Linked DNA regions of Arabidopsis thaliana. The protein of the gene in region 1 purifies or fractionates together with the protein of each later gene. This does not show direct contact. Each region holds a gene or a part of one and is shown in the gene's direction. Other genes may lie near its edges. The genes, in order: SIM, PPR336 and LON1.

Evidence for each region.
Region 2: the proteins of SIM (region 1) and PPR336 purify together in Arabidopsis thaliana (affinity purification with mass spectrometry, with the first as the bait; one large-scale study listed by BioGRID). This does not show direct contact.
Region 3: the proteins of SIM (region 1) and LON1 purify together in Arabidopsis thaliana (affinity purification with mass spectrometry, with the first as the bait; one large-scale study listed by BioGRID). This does not show direct contact.

What each region holds. Positions count from the first base shown.
Region 1 is NC_003076.8:1,265,492-1,270,685, reverse strand, and holds SIM (cyclin-dependent protein kinase inhibitor), read left to right. Parts: upstream 1-3,269; 5' UTR 3,270-3,328; coding exon of another isoform or gene 3,329-3,339; 5' UTR 3,340-3,409; coding exon 3,410-3,793; 3' UTR 3,794-4,061; downstream 4,062-5,194. Other genes in the region: AT5G04475 (uncharacterized protein), read right to left, coding at 3,329-3,339, 3,429-3,666. UniProt on the Arabidopsis thaliana protein: Cyclin-dependent protein kinase (CDK) inhibitor that functions as a repressor of mitosis in the endoreduplication cell cycle. Inhibits the kinase activity of CYCD3-1/CDKA-1, CYCD2-1/CDKA-1 and CYCB1-1/CDKB1-1 complexes in a dose dependent manner.
Region 2 is NC_003070.9:22,863,519-22,869,722, reverse strand, and holds PPR336 (pentatricopeptide repeat 336), read left to right. Parts: upstream 1-3,056; 5' UTR 3,057-3,170; coding exon 3,171-4,397; 3' UTR 4,398-4,772; downstream 4,773-6,204. Other genes in the region: AT1G61890 (MATE efflux family protein), read left to right, coding at 620-676, 773-1,011, 1,104-1,222, 1,318-1,404, 1,555-1,620; AT1G61860 (Protein kinase superfamily protein), read left to right, coding at 5,104-5,248, 5,353-5,534, 5,627-5,816, 5,899-6,204.
Region 3 is NC_003076.8:9,448,135-9,458,083, forward strand, and holds LON1 (lon protease 1), read left to right. Parts: upstream 1-2,817; 5' UTR 2,818-2,913; coding exon 2,914-3,345; intron 3,346-3,742; coding exon 3,743-3,808; intron 3,809-4,251; coding exon 4,252-4,437; intron 4,438-4,508; coding exon 4,509-4,574; intron 4,575-4,714; coding exon 4,715-4,756; intron 4,757-4,866; coding exon 4,867-4,989; intron 4,990-5,074; coding exon 5,075-5,173; intron 5,174-5,245; coding exon 5,246-5,311; intron 5,312-5,411; coding exon 5,412-5,498; intron 5,499-5,607; coding exon 5,608-5,647; intron 5,648-5,843; coding exon 5,844-6,015; intron 6,016-6,176; coding exon 6,177-6,301; intron 6,302-6,382; coding exon 6,383-6,513; intron 6,514-6,615; coding exon 6,616-6,720; intron 6,721-6,852; coding exon 6,853-6,966; intron 6,967-7,107; coding exon 7,108-7,275; intron 7,276-7,398; coding exon 7,399-7,500; intron 7,501-7,575; coding exon 7,576-8,226; intron 8,227-8,314; coding exon 8,315-8,497; 3' UTR 8,498-8,866; and 1 more. Other genes in the region: AT5G26850 (Uncharacterized protein), read left to right, coding at 1-47, 130-507, 598-747, 863-941, 1,021-1,145, 1,234-1,425, 1,525-1,659, 1,743-1,868 and 2 more; AT5G26865 (AGAMOUS-like MADS-box protein), read right to left, coding at 9,167-9,547; AGL26 (tRNA (cytidine(34)-2'-O)-methyltransferase), read right to left, coding at 9,816-9,949.

The sequences.
Region 1 (5,194 bases):
TGAGAACTATAGTCTAGCTCTCTAATTCTCCCAATCACTCCGAGTTCTCGGTATTCTTTTGGTATCCTATGAAAAAGGACACCAAATGAAATCTACTTCGGAAGATTTATAAATGGAAGAAGAAAAATAAAACATATTATATATATTACTTTGTTTATGGTAGGAAGTTTTGATGTTTGTGAAGAAAGTTGGAACACAAATGTATGAGAAGATCTTATAAGCTTCAAATTTTCTTGATTATATAATTATATCGCCTCCACATGTTAACCAAATATATATCATCGAACAAAATGTTTTTGAGGTTAGTTGTTTTTATTTAAAATTCAGCTTTTTAGTTAACATATTGGATAAATATAAACATTTTGATGTAAATTTTGTCACATTCTATTTGCAAGACTGTTAATTGTAATGATATTTTATATTGGAGTTTATTTTATTTTCTTTTTTCAAAGTTAGTTTTTTTCTCTTCTTTTGGTCGTGTGTATCAATGTATAATGTATATAGGTTTGGACATTTGTATAAGAGACAATCGGATATGAAGCATAAACATCCAAGAGAGGACCATCATGATCGTTATCCACTTGGTATCGATGATCGATCGGTTACTTAATAAAAAAATAGTATTCGGAACAATTTTGGGAAAATAGCTTGATGTTATTATAAGGATACATTAATACATTATTAGGGAGACATGCACGTTACGTTTTACTTGCTTCCCTTGTCTCCATCGTACTTTACAACAAATAAAATATTAAACAAACTAATGCATACTAACTCAACCACGTATGAATTGTATAATGTATTCATGTCATGTCAACCACGTAAATATAATATGATATTGAGGATTTTCTACATCCATTCTTGTTTTTATCGAGTAGTAGCTAGCTAGTTTTTTTTGTTCATAGATCTACTCGCGTAAAACTGAAACCAAAAGTATCTTTGTGTAAATAGTTTCGCTTTCATATATCGTGTCATATTCGAAATTCTTGTCAAACCGGCACTCAATTTTAAACCTACCGGTTACGCTAATGTGTATGTGACTATGTGTTACTTAAGTATCGTATACATCATCATATACAGATTAGAAGAATATTTTTAATCTACTCTTAGATATAAGGCTAGACTGCTAGAGTAGTAATACCAAATGGTCCAAAATCTTCAACAAAAACTTACGAAAAGTTTAAATCACGAACGCTTGAGTAACAACAAACGTTTATTTTGTTGTCAACAACTAAAGTTGTTCAAAAAGATTTACCGAAAAAAAAAAAAGTTGTTCAAAAAGATTGATCGAAAAAAGTGGTCCCGAAATACCAAACCCATAAGGCCATAACATAAAAATACTGTCCAAGCATTTCTGCGTAAAGAAAATGTAAAAAAAAATATATGGTAAAAAAGAAAAATAAAACAAATTGTAATTATATATGAAAAAATAGTAATATAAATATTAAAGTAAAAATGAAAAAAAAAAAAAAAAAAAAAAAGACGGTGAGAGACTGAGAAAAAGATCAGTGAGATTGTTTCTTTTTCTGTACCTTTTTTTTTTGGGCTTTCACTGTCTGATAATGGCAGTCGCATCCATCCACAGATCAACCCTACATCACACTACATGCCTCCTCTAAATTCGACACGTGGCATTTCTTTAGATGATAGATTCTCTGTACACTAAATTACCTTAATACCTTTGTAACTAAAGTCTGGATATACACTGCATACATCATGTATAAGCTGACTTCTAGATTCAAATTTAACTATATAGTTGTTTTCTTGAAATATGATTATTGGCATGAGGAGTCTGTTGTAAGTAAATTAAAAAAAAACATGATTAAAACGAACGTGTAGATGTCGTGCGGATAAAAGTTAATATCATAGTCAATAGTATCATTAAAAGATATACCAATGGAATCTTACTTAATAAAATTATGCTACTTTCTCTGCAATGGAATCTTGGTTAATTTAAAAGAGAATAAATAAGATTAAACCGACTGCAATTATATCCCAGATCGTAGTTATAAACATATTTTAACATAATTTTGTATAATTTGACAAAATATGTATATATGTTAAATATGCATGTAATTGATACATCATGCATGTACAAAAACTCTAAAGTCTATACACATGACATGTCTCTAGTTTCCTTAGCGGTACACGACATAAATTCTAACCAACCTCTACGTTTAGATCTAGATTAAAAACTTTGAGGTAAAATTTGAATCTCTTTATATATCTGCCTCATTTTTTATATGATTTTCATTTTTCATTAATATAAACTATTTTTTTATATAAATATAAACTATCTATTATGTACTTCAACTAAACATATGCATGTTACTGGTTGATTATTTTTTCTAAACATATGCATGTTGCTACTTTTTTTTTATTTTGAACAAATGCATGTTACTACTTTAACCAAACAAATTTGCATGTAAACAGGATACCAAAAATAATATTTTGATTTCTTTTTATATCCTTCTAAAAACTAAATTATATGCGTGCATGTTAAGTCTACATTCGGATTGATAGAAGTTTGATATTTTTTAAAAAAAATATGTTCTTTGAATATTTTTGTTAAAGTAAATTAATTCTATATAGGTTCCCTCTTCCTTGATTTGATTCTTCTTTTTTAAGTGGATGTAACTCTCAATCTAAAAATATGAATATATACCCTCTTTTCTACATTTTCTTTTCTTTTATTTCATTTTGGAAAGATGACTTTTCTATCTTTCGGTATATATATAGATGCATATACTGTTTTCTCTACAGTAGAAAACAACTGAATTTTATCTTAAAAACTTATATTCTTTGCTTCCTCTTTTTTTTTTTTTTTTTGTCTAAAATATTCTTTGCTTCCTCTATTGAATTTTCTTTACTGTCTAGCTTTTTAAGCTTCATGTAACACACGTTTTTTTTATTATTGGTTCGTTAATAAAACATAACCCAATATATAAAAGATACAATTTCTTTTTACTGACATGAAAAATAGGCACTATGAATTCCTTACTTATTTCAGTAAATTTTTCGTTGTTTAAATATGCATGTAAGAAATTCCATTACATCACTATTTCCTCAAAATATATGTTTTCATTATTTTTAAAAGATTGTAAGGAAGCTTTCACTAATAGTAATGGATTAACTTGGCATGTGGCTTACTTTTATCTATCAAATGTAAATGAAGAGAAGTAGCAGTAGTGTGGATTTATTTCTATCATCGCTTATCTTTCTAATTATATTAAAGATAAACACATATACAACCAAAAAGGCATGTATGTAAAGACAGAAGCACATATATATAAGAAACCCACAAGTCCACTTCTCTAAGAAGATTTGTTCAGGCACACGCTAAAACACACAAACAAAAAAACAACTCTTCAAGAACATATACATTTAATATTTATATAAACAAAAAAGAATGGATCTTGATTTAATACAAGATCTGCCCATCTTGAATTTCCCACCAGCCATCAAGATCCGAGCCAACACCAACAGAGATGATGACGGCGGCGGCTGCACCACTCCCACTTCTTCCGACCACAAGATTCCTCCCACCACAGCCACCACTCCTCCTCCTCCACCGCAGAAACCCCGTCCACCTTCCACACCGTCGTCTCTCGGCATCAGATCTTGCAAGAGAAAGCTTATGACGTCATTGTCCAAGTATGAGATCATCGTCAACAAAGATGAGATCGAGCGGTTCTTCTCCTCTGTTTACAACCAAACGATGGCGTCATCCACCACGACGGCTATCACGGTGGCCAAGCGGCGAAGAAGTTTCCGTTCTTGTTCACGAAGATGATCAATAATTGGACGTTTCATTAAAGGTTCCATAATTTCGAATAGCTTTTTCGATTTTTATTTATTTTTATGTAATGTTTTTATCAACTTTACACGTCGACCCACTCTATAAATATACATGTGCGATCGATCGATGGAATCTTTTTTTCTTTACTAAAATTTGCTAGCTGTTTTGATAACGAATGACCAAATTCCAGTAGTTTTATTGACATCGTAAATATATTTCCAGCGAGAGGCACATGCACAAGTATGTATATCATCTTTTGGATAAAAGAAAAAACCTATATATATCGACTGATGAAAGTTGTGAAACTGAACAATGAAATCCTATAGCATTTACTTTATTTAGTGGCCAAAAAGTACATTTTCATCATTAGCTGATCGATGTACTTTCTTAATAAGGATATATGAATCTCTTGAATTGATCAATAGTTTGAATTATGAAATTTTGTGTCATGGGTTATGATGATAACTATTAATTATATAAAAGTAACAATTTCAAAACACTGAGATATCACGAACAAAAGGAGAGAAAATGAGTTGCCTTTGCAAGCAATTATTTTTGTCGGCCACGATATATTTCTATTATGTGTTACCATGTTGCGCATAATTATGGCTTCCGATCCAATTAACATAAGCATAATTATGATGGTAGCTAGTAAGAAAATTAAAACAAAATATAATCAATATGGCACCATCTTTAAGGTTATGAAAAGTTAGAAAGGTAATTATATTCAAAGTTTTGAAAATAAGTTAATCAGGTTCAAAAAAAGAAGAAGAAGTAGTTAGTCAGGTTACAACAAAGTAATAAAGTTCAAAAGAATGATAATTAACGGATGGTTTAGGTGTTGATGTGATTTGGACCATTTGGTTGATGAGATTATGTAAATAGTTGCGTGACTTACGTGTGCTTGTGTAAGAAGCCACGAGAGAGCTAATGATGCCTTGATCCAACTATTTAAATTAATACTATTATATAAACTGAATAGAAAATAGATTGTTGCTTATATTGCAAGCTAATTAATTAAAGTAATATTGTAATCAAACAAAGTTGATCGGAAATTCATGTTGATCTCTGACATTTTTGGGCCGACAACTAGAGCGATAAATACGGCTTTGGGATCTGTAAATTAATGTAATTTAATGAAAATTTAATGTTATGGATGACGTCTTGAAGAAAATTAATCTAATATTCATTAGGGGTGCCCATTCGTCACGTACTCGGAAAATCGGTTACCAATTAATAAGTTTACATGTTGAAAAATATTTGATTATATATTAGTACTATTTCTTACATAATAGTTCATTTTGCATTACTCTGGTTCTGTTGAAACATTATTCTAACCAATACATATGCTTTGAAGCTTAATCTCTTAACTCTTTTAACTGCCATTTTTGGACA
Region 2 (6,204 bases), on another chromosome or scaffold:
TGTATCTTTTCAAAACAATTTCCATTTTAATACTACAATTAACTATGATGACAAATCATTTGTAGCATCTTTAGCCAAAAACAATAATATAGTTTGTCGTATTAAGGTGACTCAAATTTAACTAGTGTAGTGGTCAAGTAGTATTCAAATTTAAATTTAACTTTTTTTCATTAAAAACAATTTGATTTCTTTCTGTTTTTTGGTTTAACAATTTTATTTCTTACCTTTTGAGACTTAATAACATAAATTGCAGAAAGAGAAATTTATTTTCATTTAAAATTGTCCATGAATATTAGCTGTAAATTTGTTTATTTCCATGTTTGTTATAATCTGACATATGACAAATCATTTGTCGCATTATGGTGTGACACAAATGTAATTATTGTAGTGGTTAAGTATTTAAAGTGCTTTATGATTTCTTTCTTTCTGAAGAAGTCGAAAATGACGACTCCTCACCTCGTTACGTCTTTTTCAGTTTCAGTAGAAGATCTATAAGTTTTTGTCGTCACTTTGTCGTTTTGTTAGAGTTCTTACCGCATGTCGTTTCCATTGACTAGAAACGGCATACACTTGCACAAACCAGTTGTCGAAAACTCATTTTTTTGTTTTGTTTTTGCAGCATGTCAATTTCTGCAATCTCATTCATGGTCTCCGTTGGATTCAACGCAGCTGCAAGGTTGGTAACAAAACTAACATTATTCACTCCAAACTATAGTTATTGTTTTGCTCCTTATGGTTTACTAATAATACACTTTTTTCAATTTATGTGTAGTGTGAGAGTAAGCAACGAGCTAGGAGCCGGAAACCCGAGAGCAGCCGCGTTCTCCACAGTCGTGACAACGGGAGTATCATTCTTACTATCGGTTTTCGAAGCCATCGTGGTCTTATCGTGGCGTCACGTCATCAGCTATGCGTTTACTGATAGTCCAGCAGTGGCTGAGGCCGTTGCGGATTTATCTCCCTTTTTAGCCATCACAATTGTCCTCAATGGAATTCAGCCTGTTTTGTCCGGTATAAAAAAAACCCCCACATTTCACACAAATCGTTATACATCATTAATAAACGTACTAAAAACTGAAATTAATTTGATGTACAATATTTAGGTGTGGCTGTTGGATGTGGATGGCAAGCATTTGTTGCGTACGTAAACATTGGATGTTACTACGTTGTGGGGATTCCAGTGGGATTCGTTCTTGGCTTCACTTATGATATGGGAGCTAAGGTAAATTTTTTCTCATGTAAATTTGGTTACAATAATTGTACCTTATTAAATAATAATAGCTGTAATATTTAATGTGTGTGTTTGATATGGTGCAGGGAATATGGACTGGGATGATTGGTGGTACTTTAATGCAAACAATAATCTTAGTGATTGTCACTTTACGAACTGATTGGGACAAAGAGGTAAATTATTTTTATTTTTTTAATCTAGGAGCATTTTTAGGTTTATAATGAAAAGTTTTATGCACAAATCTTTGTATGAGTTTTGGTAGATATGATAATGATGGAATTCAATGAATCGTGGTATTAATCTAAATTTATTTTGTAATTTAGGTTGAGAAAGCTTCGAGCAGATTGGACCAGTGGGAAGAGAGCCGTGAGCCGCTTTTGAAGCAATAAATAAATTAATGAAATGATTTGTTTATTTTTATTTTTTTTGGGAGTTTTGAGGTCAGATTGAAATCAAAATTTTTGTTTCCCCGAAATATGGCGATAGATGATCACTTGTAAGATGCATATTCAATTGTTAAACTCTCGTTTTTCAATCGAAAAATGTATATCGCTTTGTTATTTAATGACTTGGAAATTTGAGTTTTTTTTTTGGTTTCTTGGTGTTGTGGGAGTTTTTTTTTTGATGGACATTTGAGATTAGAATATATAGGAGCAAAGTTGAAAGTTTATTTCAGTGTATGATTGTATATGAAAATAAAGAGTGAGTTGTTTCTTCTTACCAACTTCTGTCAGTTTTTAGCTAAAAGTTGAAGAAGAAAGGGTATCTTTTCAACGTCTGATTAATAGGAGTTAGGACCAAATACAATGGCCCAATCACTTCCCTAAATTAAATGAATCCAACCATCGAGAGTTGGAGTTTTAATTAATTCCATAAGTTAAACTGGCAATGGACAATAAAATATGTGGTCCTAACATTACTGAATCTAAGAGGAAAAACCAATCTTACTATGAAAAGAAAACCAATCACAAGCGTATCAAATGCATCAGCTAAACCTTAAGAAAACACCATCTTCCATCTATCTTCTCTGGTGTCGGATCCTGCACAAGACAAAGCTGTGATCATCGCAAAGGGAATAATACTGAGTCATGAACCAAGTATACTTCCATAGGAATTACAATTCTGTTTCTTGCGGTACACGAAACTCTCCCTGTAACCTATCAACATCTCGGCTTCGTCAACGATCGGAAATTTCCAATCAATGGGTCTCCAAGTGCCGCCTTCGCTCTCTCCGTTTATTGCGGGTACTTTGCGATCTTGCGGTCTATTCGTCCCATCCTTGTCTACTCGGAATAAAATAGAACCACTCTCTAAAACTTGAAGAAAGGATGTGGTGTTACGTGTTGAAGAAGCCACAACTCGACTTGGTACAATCTCTTATGGAGCTGTTTTGCCCCTTTTCAACCTTATTTCGAAGATAGTCTCTCACCAGTTGAAAATCGCTTGGATTGAACACTGAACCAATCTGATTAGTCCCCTTATTTCTAGCCTTGGACCGTTGTAAGATCGAGAAATTAAAGTAGAAAAAAGTAGTTTATGGGAAGCGTATGCGTGTGTGACTTATTCATCACCAGATTTGTCACCTCAACCGCAGCAACCATTCGCACCATAATACAATTTATCTTCTGCAATATATATAAGTTAGAGAGACTATTAATTACCGGATCCGTGGCGCAATGGTAGCGCGTCTGACTCCAGATCAGAAGGTTGCGTGTTCGATTCACGTCGGGTTCAATTCCCCGAACAAATCCGGATCTCAACTTTTTTAATTTTCGTTTTCATCTCAACCGTCCATTGTGAAGACTTTTAAAATACCCATCAACGGCTATGATTAGATTTTACACAACACAAAAACCCTAACAATCCCTAATTCTCCAGTCTCCGTCTTCTTCTTCATTTCACAGTCATCTTCTTCATCTAAAACCCTAAGAAAACAACAATGGCGTTACTCTCTCGAATCCGTTCATCAACATCTCTCTTCCGTCACCTCAACGCATCACCACAAATCCGATCACTCTCCTCGGCTTCAACAATCCTCTCACCAGATTCAAAAACTCCTCTCACAAGCAAAGAAAAAAGCAAAGCAGCTCTCTCTCTTCTCAAATCCGAGAAAGATCCAGATCGTATCCTCGAAATCTGCCGTGCAGCTTCTCTTACTCCAGATTGCCGCATAGATCGAATCGCTTTCTCCGCCGCCGTCGAGAATCTCGCCGAGAAGAAACATTTCTCCGCTGTATCGAATCTCCTCGACGGATTCATCGAAAACAGACCAGATCTCAAATCGGAACGTTTTGCTGCTCACGCCATTGTTTTGTATGCTCAAGCTAATATGCTTGATCACTCTTTAAGAGTTTTTCGTGATCTCGAGAAATTCGAAATCTCTCGTACGGTGAAGTCTTTAAACGCGCTTCTCTTTGCTTGTTTAGTAGCTAAGGATTACAAAGAAGCTAAAAGAGTTTACATTGAGATGCCTAAGATGTATGGAATTGAACCTGATCTCGAGACTTATAATCGTATGATCAAAGTGTTTTGTGAATCCGGTTCAGCGAGTTCGTCGTACTCCATTGTTGCGGAGATGGAGAGGAAAGGGATAAAGCCGAATAGTTCAAGCTTTGGTTTGATGATTTCTGGGTTTTATGCAGAGGATAAGAGTGATGAAGTAGGGAAAGTGTTGGCGATGATGAAAGATCGTGGTGTTAATATCGGTGTTTCGACTTATAACATTAGGATTCAGAGTTTGTGTAAGAGGAAGAAATCTAAGGAAGCGAAGGCTTTGCTTGATGGGATGTTATCTGCAGGGATGAAACCGAATACGGTAACGTATAGCCATTTGATTCACGGGTTTTGTAATGAAGATGATTTCGAGGAAGCGAAGAAGTTGTTTAAGATTATGGTGAACAGAGGATGTAAGCCTGATAGTGAGTGTTACTTCACTCTTATATATTACTTATGCAAAGGAGGAGACTTTGAGACGGCTTTGAGTCTTTGTAAAGAGAGTATGGAGAAGAATTGGGTTCCGAGTTTTAGTATCATGAAGTCGCTTGTTAACGGACTAGCTAAGGATTCGAAAGTCGAAGAAGCAAAGGAGCTTATTGGGCAAGTGAAAGAGAAGTTCACTAGAAACGTTGAGTTGTGGAACGAAGTCGAAGCCGCATTACCGCAATGAATCAAAAGATAGTTCCCGAGATCGGTATTTTCAAAATTTTACGAATTTTCTCTCTTCATTTGTCAGCAATGAAATAAGTTTATATCTTCTTAGAAGATAGTAATCTTTTGCTCATCATGGTAGCTATAGATTAATGGTTTATCTTGTTAGTTTTTGGATTTGGAATCAGAGAGATGTTGAGCAGTTTATCTGTAAGATTTGGTCAAAGCATTGTAGCAATGTTAAGTGTCTTCCTATGTTTATATTATATAGTATGATGACTATATAATATAGAAAGAAGTTTAATGTTTACATGCTTACCACGAACTAATGTGTTTTGGAGTAAAGATTTGATTGGAAGTTTGTTAAAAGAGAGAGACGCGTTGGCTTATTCACGAACAGAGAAGAGAACCCTAAAAATAAGAAAAAGAAGAATAATCCTTTTATCCAAATTTGAGAGATGGGAACATTCATATATAACAATAAGAGAGAGCAAAACTTTGTGATCGTCCCCTAAATTCTCGTGTCATGCAACATCATTTTCCTGGGAAAGATCTGATCTTTCTTTCAGATTCGTTTTGCCCAGACAGGGTTTGGATCTGAAAGGATCGGTAAGAGAGACAAGATCGAATCTTTCCTTGGGGGATTCATTACAAAGGATTTGTTTTTGTCTGAAGAATCAAGAACAGAAAAGAAAAAACAAACAGAGGAAGGAAGAAGAAGGAAAATGATGAAGCTTTGTCCTTGTTTCATCAACCCGCATCAGCTTGGACCTAATTCGCCTAGAGATTCATTTGACGAAGGTCTTACAGCTTATAGAGGCCATAGCCGTAAACTTTTTGCACTGTTCACATTTCGCTCACATCGGAAAGGTATTCGTAAACGTTGTCTCTTCTTCATCTAACTCAATCTTCTCAAAGATTTGATCACATATCATTTGGTTTCTGAAAATGTTTATGAACATTGATAAATGCAGGAAGCTGCAGGCAGAAGTATATAACGGAAGAGATAAAGAAGTATGGGAACGTGAAGAACTGCGGTCGAATCTTCAAATTCAAGGAGCTAATAGCTGCAACCGACAATTTCAGCATGGATTGTATGATTGGTGAAGGCGGTTTTGGAAGAGTCTACAAAGGGTTTCTCACCAGCCTCAATCAGGTCCTTTTCAATCTCTCAAAACTTCTATGTAAGTGTGTGAAATTTGGCGAAAAGTTGCTAATTTTTGTTTGATTGAATGATGAGAAGTTTAGGTGGTGGCTGTAAAGAGGCTTGATAGGAATGGGTTGCAAGGAACAAGAGAGTTCTTTGCAGAAGTAATGGTATTGAGTCTGGCTCAACATCCAAACCTTGTCAATCTCATTGGCTATTGCGTCGAAGACGAGCAACGAGTCCTCGTTTATGAATTCATGCCTAACGGATCTTTGGAAGATCATTTGTTCGGTAAAGATTGTGACCTTCTCATGTTATATCATCAAAGCTTTTGCATTGTAATCTAAAGTTTTAATCTTTCTTCACTACATAGACTTACCAGAAGGGTCACCAAGTCTAGACTGGTTCACCAGAATGCGGATAGTGCACGGAGCAGCGAAAGGGCTCGAGTACTTGCACGACTACGCAGATCCTCCTGTGATCTACCGCGATTTCAAAGCTTCAAACATATTGTTACAATCTGACTTCAACTCAAAGCTATCGGATTTCGGGTTAGCTAGACTTGGACCAACTGAAGGCAAAGATCATGTGTCCACAAGAGTCATGGGAACATACGGATACTGTGCCCCTGAATATGCGATGACCGGTCAACTCACTGCTAAATCCGATGTCTACAGTT
Region 3 (9,949 bases), 8.2 Mb from region 1:
CACATGCAATGTCTTCAGCATTATCGCCATCTATGCGTTCACAACAGGTGAACTAAAGTTTGTTTGGTCTCTTCTGAGTGTTTAGCATTATCTATAAAGTTTATTTAATTCTTCTTAATTTTCGTACAGGTCTTCCCTGACACACTTCTTGATGCACTTCTAAAAGCAATGCTGCATCCAAATGTGGAAACCCGTGTAGGAGCGCATGAAATATTCTCTGTAATTCTCTTGCAAAGTTCTGGTCAATCTCAGGCTGGACTTGCATCAGTGAGAGCTTCTGGCTATCTTAATGAATCAAGAAACTGGAGGAGTGATACAACCTCTGCGTTCACATCTGTCACTGCTCGTTTAGACAAGCTCAGGAAGGAGAAGGATGGCGTCAAGATTGAGAAGAATGGTTACAATAATACTCACGAGGATCTTAAGAACTACAAATCGTCCCCAAAGTTTCACAAGTTGAATTCCATAATTGATAGGACTGCTGGGTTTATCAATCTAGCTGATATGGTAACATTTTTCCTTGCTTACAATTGGATGTTGTGTGCTAAAGGACCATCATATGTTTATGCAATTGTCTGATACTGTTTGGTGATGCAGTTACCATCGATGATGAAGTTTACGGAAGATCAAATCGGGCAACTGTTATCTGCATTTTGGATACAATCAGCACTTCCTGATATCTTACCTTCAAACATTGAAGCTATTGCTCATTCTTTTAGCTTGGTGCTTCTGTCCTTGCGACTAAAGGTCAACATAAAAGTTTCTCCTCTTTTCTGGCTCTCTTAATATTTCTCTTTCATAGAGGAAGTTTTCACTTTCATGACGCTATACTTAAAGCTTCTCATGATTATTTTAATTACAGAATCCTGATGACGGGCTTGTTGTTCGAGCCTTCCAGCTTCTCTTCTCATTGAGGACTCTTTCGTTGGACCTTAATAACGGTACTGATTGATGAAACTCTCTTAAACTGATCAAAGTTTAAGAAATCGCTTATGTGCAGTCAAACTTTCTCTTTTTCAGGCACATTACCCTCAGTTTGCAAGCGGTTGATCCTTGCTTTATCCACAAGTATGCTGATGTTCGCTGCCAAAATATATCAGATTCCTCATATTTGTGAAATGTTGAAGGCCCAACTTCCTGGTGATGTGAGTTCCCAATGTGTTGTTTCAGTTATTACTTTTATTTTATCCATGGAGATTGTGTATCACTTGATTATATACTCAAAATTTTCAGGTGGATCCTTATCTTTTCATTGGAGATGACTTACAACTTCACGTAAGACCACAGGCAAATATGAAAGATTTTGGGTCCTCAAGCGATAGCCAGATGGCTACTTCAATGCTGTTTGAGATGCGAAGCAAAGTAGAACTGTCCAACACTATTATAACCGATATTGTCGCAAAAAATCTACCTAAACTTTCGAAGGTAAATCTTATATTTTCTGTTTCTTAGTGAACAATACCTTTTAAGCCCCAATGTTCGATTCTCTTGTACTGATTTGATTTTATGTACTCTCTTGTTAAGCTCGAGGAAGCTGATGTGAAGATGCAAATCTTGGAGCAATTTACACCTGATGATGCTTTTATGTTTGGATCAAGGCCAAACATTGAACCTCAACCAAACCAAAGTATCTCTAAGGAATCGCTGTCCTTCGATGAGGTAAACTATTCTCTGAAGTTCCATATTCCATTGGGATTTTGATAATATTCAGAACTGTTAACACTTATGTTTCTTTATTACAGGACATACCTGCCGGTTCAATGGTTGAGGACGAAGTGACGAGTGAACTCTCTGTGCGTTTCCCCCCAAGAGGATCTCCCTCACCATCTATTCCTCAAGTTATCAGCATTGGACAGCTCATGGAATCTGTAAGCATAGACCACATTCGACATAAAGAAGAAACTGGCTGATATATATATTTGTGTCTTCTTATAATTGGTTTGTGATATGTTATCTAGGCGCTTGAGGTCGCTGGTCAAGTGGTTGGGTCATCTGTCTCTACTTCTCCGCTTCCTTATGACACAATGACTAACCGCTGTGAAACCTTTGGGACTGGTACTAGAGAGAAGCTCTCAAGGTGGTTGGCCACTGAGAACCGTCAGATGAATGGGCTCTATGGAAATTCACTTGAGGAATCATCTGCACTTGAGAAGGTACGTAACAGCTGAGTTGGTAAACACATTAGAACTACAAACTGTTAAAATCTGCTATGGTCCTTAGTAATAGTGAGAAAGATCATAACTTTGTGATACCAAATGGGCTGGTTAAGAGAAAGGTAGAAACTTTATCATACGAGGCTTACACGTTGAGACACGTTGTTACAGGTAGTAGAAGATGGGAACATCTATGGGAGAGAATCTGGAATGTTGCAGGATTCATGGTCCATGATGAGACTACCTCCAGCTAGTCCCTTTGACAATTTCCTCAAAGCAGCAGGAGCTGGAAGATGATTCAACTAACTTGATCATATCAATCTCTGTAGAAAGTGTGTAATCTTGTTGTTCTTATTGGATTTGTAGAGAACTAACTTATCTAGGGCCAATCACGATGCTTCTCGTAGTAATCTAGAATCAGTAGTAAGTAATGCTTGTTTCGTTAGGACAAGAATCTCTGTTAGTGTTGTCGTTATAATCAGTAGAGAACCAATGCTATCTAGATTTGTATCAAATTCTCTTCATTACCTTTAAACGCATCATCAAAACAAAATCGAAGATAAAGTTCACAACTTTAAAGGCCACATCTTTTACTAATGGCGGTGAAGCAAACGGCTTTAGTTGGCCGGACCGGTTTGGTTTTCTGATAACCGGAAAATTCAATGAACCGACTCCAAAACGACGTCGTGTTATTGTGAAGGCAAAATGGTGTTGTTCTCTCTGCTGCCTTTAAAATTGGGGTTTTGCTTCGTCGGGGTTTATGAAGGGCTTTGATACTAATCTTCGTCTACAGGCTTCTTCTCCAGAATTCTCCAATGGTTTCTTGCCTAAAAGGCAAAACTTTATAAAACTCAATCGCAGAAATTGTTACCCCAGATCTTCTTTCTCTCCCACCATGTTAAAGCTCTTCACTTCCTCCGCCTCTCGAGTCCACCATTTGACTCCGGTAAGTAGGGTCGTCGGGTCTTCTCCAGTGGAGTCTCCATTGTTCAAAGCGTTGAGTCAAATCACTGGGTGGAATCGGCGATCTACTTCGTTGGGTCATCGTGCTTTCTTCTGCTCTGAGCCTACCAATGGAGAGGCGGCGGCTGAAGCTGAAACTAAGGCGGTGGAGTCCGATTCTGAAGTGTCTGACTCCAAATCTTCGTCTGCGATTGTGCCCACTAACCCTAGGCCTGAAGATTGTTTAACGGTTTGTGTAACTATGGCTTTTTGTTCCTTTCTCTGTGGAAGATTTGTTAGTGCATTTGTATATGCGTTATTGGATCGTTGGCAATCTAATTGTATAGGAAAATTTCAATTCTTGTTGGAATTATTACAAAGTTGTAAACTTTGGTAATAACTGAGTGGATGATGCTTATGAGGTGCTTTACATCTTTGTTGTTCTATTAGTGGAGAAAGTTGAAGCTTCTGATATTGTATGTTGTTCTATGGTGTTTGCTTAGAGCATTTTTGAATCTGTATTTAGTGGTTTGTTGTTAACAGTCAAGCAAAGACTAATTGGATTTTGTGAACATTTTACATTTGATCATTTTCATTTTAGCGGAGTTATGTTTCTCCTGATGGAGTTTTCCGTTGTTTAATTGCAGGTTCTAGCATTGCCGGTGCCACATAGGCCGCTTTTTCCTGGTTTTTACATGCCAATCTATGTCAAGGTATGTCAATTCATCATTTTCTGGCCTTTAAACACTCTCCAAAACTTGGCCTTGTTTGGTTCTCAAAATCTCATTCGATTCTCTTTAAATGGAGCTGAATCTAGCCTTAGAACTAGTACCGATATCTTCTTATTTTGTTCTCAGTAGAGCATGGATCATTGATTACCTAGTTTACAATCAAAAGTGAAGAGAACTTACATATCAGCTGACACCTTCTTTGAAATATCTGCTGTTTGGGTTTCGACATATAGATCAATTTTAGCCGCATTTGATGCAATTTTTTTGATAATTTACCCCATTGTTTATTAATTGTAATCTTCCCCGCCTGGGACAAAATAGCTAAAAACTATTTCCGTTAAACCACAGCGATGACACGATCTTTATAGTTTGGGAGATGTCAGGTTTTGCTTCTCTGACCAGCATGTGCGTTTTCTGGTGTGCAGGATCCTAAAGTACTCGCAGCCTTACAAGAGAGCAGAAGACGACAAGCTCCATATGCAGGAGCTTTCCTTCTGAAGGATGACCCATCAGCTGATTCATCTTCAAGCACTGACGCAGAAAAAAACATAAATGAGCTGAAAGGGAAAGAGTTGCTTAACCGGCTTCACGAAGTTGGCACACTTGCTCAGGTATTGTGTTGCTGCATTTGTTCAAATTAAAAAGCATGACTAGCATTACGATTTCCTTATTGATTTTCCAGATTTCAAGTATCCAAGGAGACCAAGTTATCCTTGTTGGTCACAGGCGACTTCGCATAAAAGAGATGGTAAGTCGGTATAACAGCGTTCGTACTTTGTAGAATTTTCAACCATGAAAGTTCCAAATCCTCGAAAGTACATCTTCACATCTGTTCTTTGGTTGATCAAGACACTTTTGGTTTAAGGGAGAAATTTTTCCTTTATACAGGTGAGCGAAGAACCACTTACCGTCAAAGTCGATCATCTTAAGGTACATTTTTCTGCTTTTAGGCTTTTCCTCTTATAATATGAGACTACTTTGATTTTGCTTTTTCTATTTGAAACTCTGAAGTCAGGAACCTTTTCTTACTCTCTGTGCAGGATAATCCGTTTGACATGGACGATGATGTCGTCAAGGCAACATCTTTTGAAGTTATTTCAACTCTTAGGGATGTACTGAAGACAAGTTCACTATGGAGAGATCACGTTCAGACATATACCCAGGCATGTTCTTGTCATAATTTCACCTGTTCTGGTAAAAAGGTCTCAGGGTACAAGTGTCTTAGTAGATGTCTTTCAACTTGTGTAGCATATAGGTGATTTCACTTATCCACGACTAGCTGATTTTGGAGCGGCGATATGTGGCGCAAATAGGCATCAAGCTCAAGAAGTTCTTGAAGAACTGGATGTAAGGAGCTTCATTATTGTTGTAATTGTATGATTCTTGGTCAATCTCTCATCTCTGTTTTTATTGACCCAGGTTCACAAACGTCTGCGGTTGACGCTGGAATTGATGAAAAAAGAAATGGAAATTAGCAAGATACAGGTACTTCATTCCCTTATTCTTGTGTCTTTCCCACTAAGGGACTACTTATCCGGTAACTGTTTGAATGGGATAAGATTCTTATCTTCTGAGCCTTTTATAGGAAACCATAGCAAAAGCAATTGAAGAAAAAATTAGCGGTGAGCAACGTCGTTACTTGCTAAATGAGCAGCTCAAGGCTATAAAGAAGGTATTACTCAGCCCGCTTCACAAAATATGCTTGCTATTTTCATCCACATACCATGTCTGTGTAATATATATACATATTTGGTTTGATTCATTTAAGTCATCCAATGCAGGAGCTTGGTGTGGAGACAGATGACAAATCTGCACTTTCTGGTCAGTACGAACTTAAAGTCTTAAACTATCTTCAATTACATGTAGTCAGTTTATATCCTAGTTAGAAATTTAGAATTTCACTGCCTCATGGATCACAATGCATTCATGAGACGTCAGTGTCTTTGGTATGAGTTTGGAGAGCCGTGCACTGTTAATTGTATGACAACCACAACTTATAGTCTGTTCTTTACTGCAGCAAAGTTTAAGGAAAGGATTGAGCCTAACAAGGAAAAAATTCCAGCGCATGTATTACAAGTCATAGAAGAAGAGCTTACAAAGCTGCAGCTGTTAGAGGCGAGTTCAAGCGAGTTTAACGTGACGCGTAACTACCTTGATTGGTTGACCATATTGCCTTGGGGAAATTACAGGTTTTTTACTTTTCATATATCTTTTTTTTTTTTTCTGTTTAAGTAAAGCAGTAAGTCTTTTGGTATGAGAGACTGATATAGAGACGGATGAGCTCTCATCTCATGGCACCATTTGTTTTTGTGTTCACTGATTTGAGGAATCTATTTTGTTAAATTTGCAGTAATGAAAACTTTGATGTTGCACGGGCGCAAACAATTCTTGACGAGGATCACTATGGCTTATCTGACGTAAAGGAAAGAATACTGGAATTTATTGCAGTGGGAAGACTTAGAGGCACTTCACAAGGTTTGATACTTATCCAGTAATTGTGATTTGATCTTGTTGAAAAAAACTTGTCCCCTTAAATTTGAGTAAATGTGTCCCCAGGGAAAATCATCTGCCTCTCCGGCCCTCCTGGAGTAGGCAAAACTAGTATTGGGCGGTCTATTGCACGTGCTCTTAATCGCAAATTTTTCCGGTTCTCTGTTGGAGGGTTAGCAGATGTCGCTGAGATCAAGGTATAATACCTTTGTTTTGGTATACTTGCAAATATTAGTCAAACATTTGTGACTGAATTCTTTCCTAGAAACAAAAAACCATTCTTGTAATTACATGTTTAGGGGCATCGTCGGACATATGTTGGCGCCATGCCAGGAAAGATGGTGCAATGTCTAAAGAGTGTGGGGACAGCAAATCCTCTTGTTCTAATCGATGAGATTGATAAGGTAATATATTTTTTGTTTTGATATTTGTCATCATATGGTAGCTTCTTTTATTCATCAGTACAATACTGTTTCAATCTCTAGTTACCAAAGACAAATTTCTCTGCAATAAATTGCTATATTGTTCCTTTGCAGCTGGGGAGAGGCCATGCTGGTGACCCGGCCAGTGCTTTGTTGGAGCTTCTGGATCCAGAGCAAAACGCAAATTTTCTGGACCACTATCTCGACGTTACTATAGATCTATCAAAGGTAATTAAATGTGGTCAAGGACCAAATTTTGTATTTCTTTTCTTCATGATGTTCTGTCCACCAATAGATGGATATGAATACCATTTTGTTTCATGTGATACTAGGCCGATTGAATTTAATTGCTGATCCATTTCCCTACAGGTTTTATTTGTGTGCACAGCAAATGTGATAGACATGATTCCAAATCCTTTGCTAGACAGAATGGAGGTGATTTCTATTGCTGGGTATATCACTGATGAAAAAGTTCATATCGCAAGAGACTATTTGGAAAAAACTGCACGTGGAGATTGTGGTGTCAAGCCTGAACAGGTCTCACTTTCATCCTATTCTCCAATTGTCTCTTCTTTTAACTCTCGGTAAATTAAAATGAGTGAGTGATTATCAATGAATCACATACTTCTAAGATTTCGTCAATTTGTTCGTACTATGCAGGTTGAGGTGAGTGATGCAGCGCTTCTTTCCTTGATAGAAAATTACTGCAGAGAAGCAGGTGTTAGGAATCTCCAGAAACAGATCGAGAAGATTTACCGTAAGGTAAGTTTTGCTACAAGACTCCGAATTGATTCCTCAAGCCCTCAATGTCGAACACCATTTACTTTTCTGTTGTAGATTGCACTTAAATTAGTGCGTGAAGGAGCAGTCCCCGAAGAGCCTGCAGTTGCAAGTGATCCTGAAGAAGCTGAAATCGTGGCTGATGTTGGCGAATCCATAGAGAATCATACTGTCGAAGAAAACACTGTGTCCTCTGCTGAAGAACCAAAGGAAGAGGCCCAAACCGAGAAGATAGCTATTGAAACGGTTATGATTGATGAGTCAAACCTTGCGGATTATGTAGGAAAACCGGTATTCCATGCAGAGAAGCTCTATGAGCAGACACCGGTAGGTGTTGTGATGGGTCTAGCTTGGACATCAATGGGTGGTTCAACATTGTACATAGAGACGACTGTTGTGGAGGAAGGGGAAGGTAAAGGTGGCCTGAATATAACGGGTCAGCTCGGTGATGTGATGAAAGAAAGTGCACAAATTGCTCACACAGTCGCCAGAAAGATCATGCTAGAGAAAGAACCAGAGAATCAGTTCTTTGCAAACTCCAAGCTTCATCTCCATGTTCCTGCAGGAGCCACTCCCAAGGATGGTCCAAGTGCAGGCTGCACCATGATCACATCTTTACTATCACTTGCCACGAAGAAACCCGTTAGGAAGGACCTTGCAATGACTGGAGAAGTCACACTAACCGGAAGAATTCTTCCTATTGGTGGGGTAAGTAACTCCGGACTTCTCTCACTCTATTCTATTAGAGCCTCTCTTTTTTTTTCCTTTTTTGACAATGTACACAAAAATGTTACAGGTGAAAGAGAAAACTATAGCGGCGAGGCGGAGTCAGATTAAAACAATAATATTTCCAGAGGCAAACCGGAGAGACTTTGATGAGCTGGCAGAGAATGTGAAAGAAGGGCTTAATGTTCACTTCGTGGATGACTATGGAAAGATCTTCGAGCTTGCCTTTGGCTATGACAAACAAGAAGACTGAGAACACACATAAGCCACGTTGACCTTTTGTCATCTGTTGTTGTCTCCATTTAAACAACACTACCATTCTTGATTCTCTTTGATCTTTTTCTTCCTTCAAGAAGAAAGTTATTCTGTAACTTTTTTTTTATGATTAGGGTAATTTATTGGTGGTTGGATTTTATTATTTTGGTATATAACCAAAGCCAAATATCATAATAAGACATCAGAACAAAGTAAAAAAAACAAAGTTGTTTCTCATTTTGTGCTTGTAATTTCATCAACATATTCGCGTATTACTTTCACTGTTGCTATGTGTTCGATCACACTTCATAACAGACTAGTAACTTGTTGGCATAATTTTCTGTTTTATATTCCTTTCTACTGGATTAGATGATGGGTAATTTGACTATTAAACTATGTAATGAAATGTATATATATTCTTAGTTCGTACTCAGACAAAAATAGGATTGAGAAGATAGCATTCATACTTAGGAAAAACATACAATTCAACACAAACTCTTCATCAGACAATTAACCTCATATAATCTGATATCTGAAGTAGAAACAGAGGCACGGACTTGATAGAAGCTACAGTTGTCATGGTTATAGAGAAAGACTGAAAATTTGCTCTGATGTTGACTCAATGGTGACGTCGATAGGTCTTGCTCTGTGTTTGACACACCGATATTCACCAATGGTTCTGTCCATTGTTGATGACGGGGATCTGACCTAACTCGGTCTGGTTTTTCTCGGGTTGTAGTAACAGAAGCTTATCTTGTAGTACCCGTAGACCACTTTCTAATGAATCCTTCATCTCTAAGACTTTCTCCGAGAGCTTACTGTTGTCGAGGATCTTCTTACGTAGAAACAGAGAAAGGTTGGTTCTTTTCTTGCGTCGCTCTCTCTCGTGTAGTTTGCTAAACCTCTCTGCCATGTCTCGAACCTTGGATTGATCCTCCGGCCATGTCTTGATGAGTTCTCCGTCACGACTATAAAGTATGACACAGACTTCGATATCGCACAGAGTTGAAAGCTCGAGGGCTTTCTTAAACATTGTATCTTCTCTCATAGACAAGTTTGGTTTCTTCTCACAGAAAATTTGGTTTTCTTCTTGACATCGAAGAATCTATTGTGATGTTTTGTTTACACAGAGATAGGAAAAAAATTAAGCTTTTAGCTTGTTCTCAAAGAGAAAATAAACTCTGAAGGAGAGAATTGGGATACAGATACAATAGGGTTTAGGGTAGTGACTCCTTCAAGATGAATATGAATGCTTACCAACCACCAATGGCTATGCCTCTACGTCTCCGTCTTCCTTTTTGCAACCATCCAATGTATCAAGCAAAGATATCCTCTGTCAACAATGGTTCTTCACCATTCACACAGCCTTGAGGTGCACACTCGATTTGCTCATAGTTAAGTTGTCTGGACGCTTCATACAGAGCAATCCCTACACTCACCGAAAGATTCA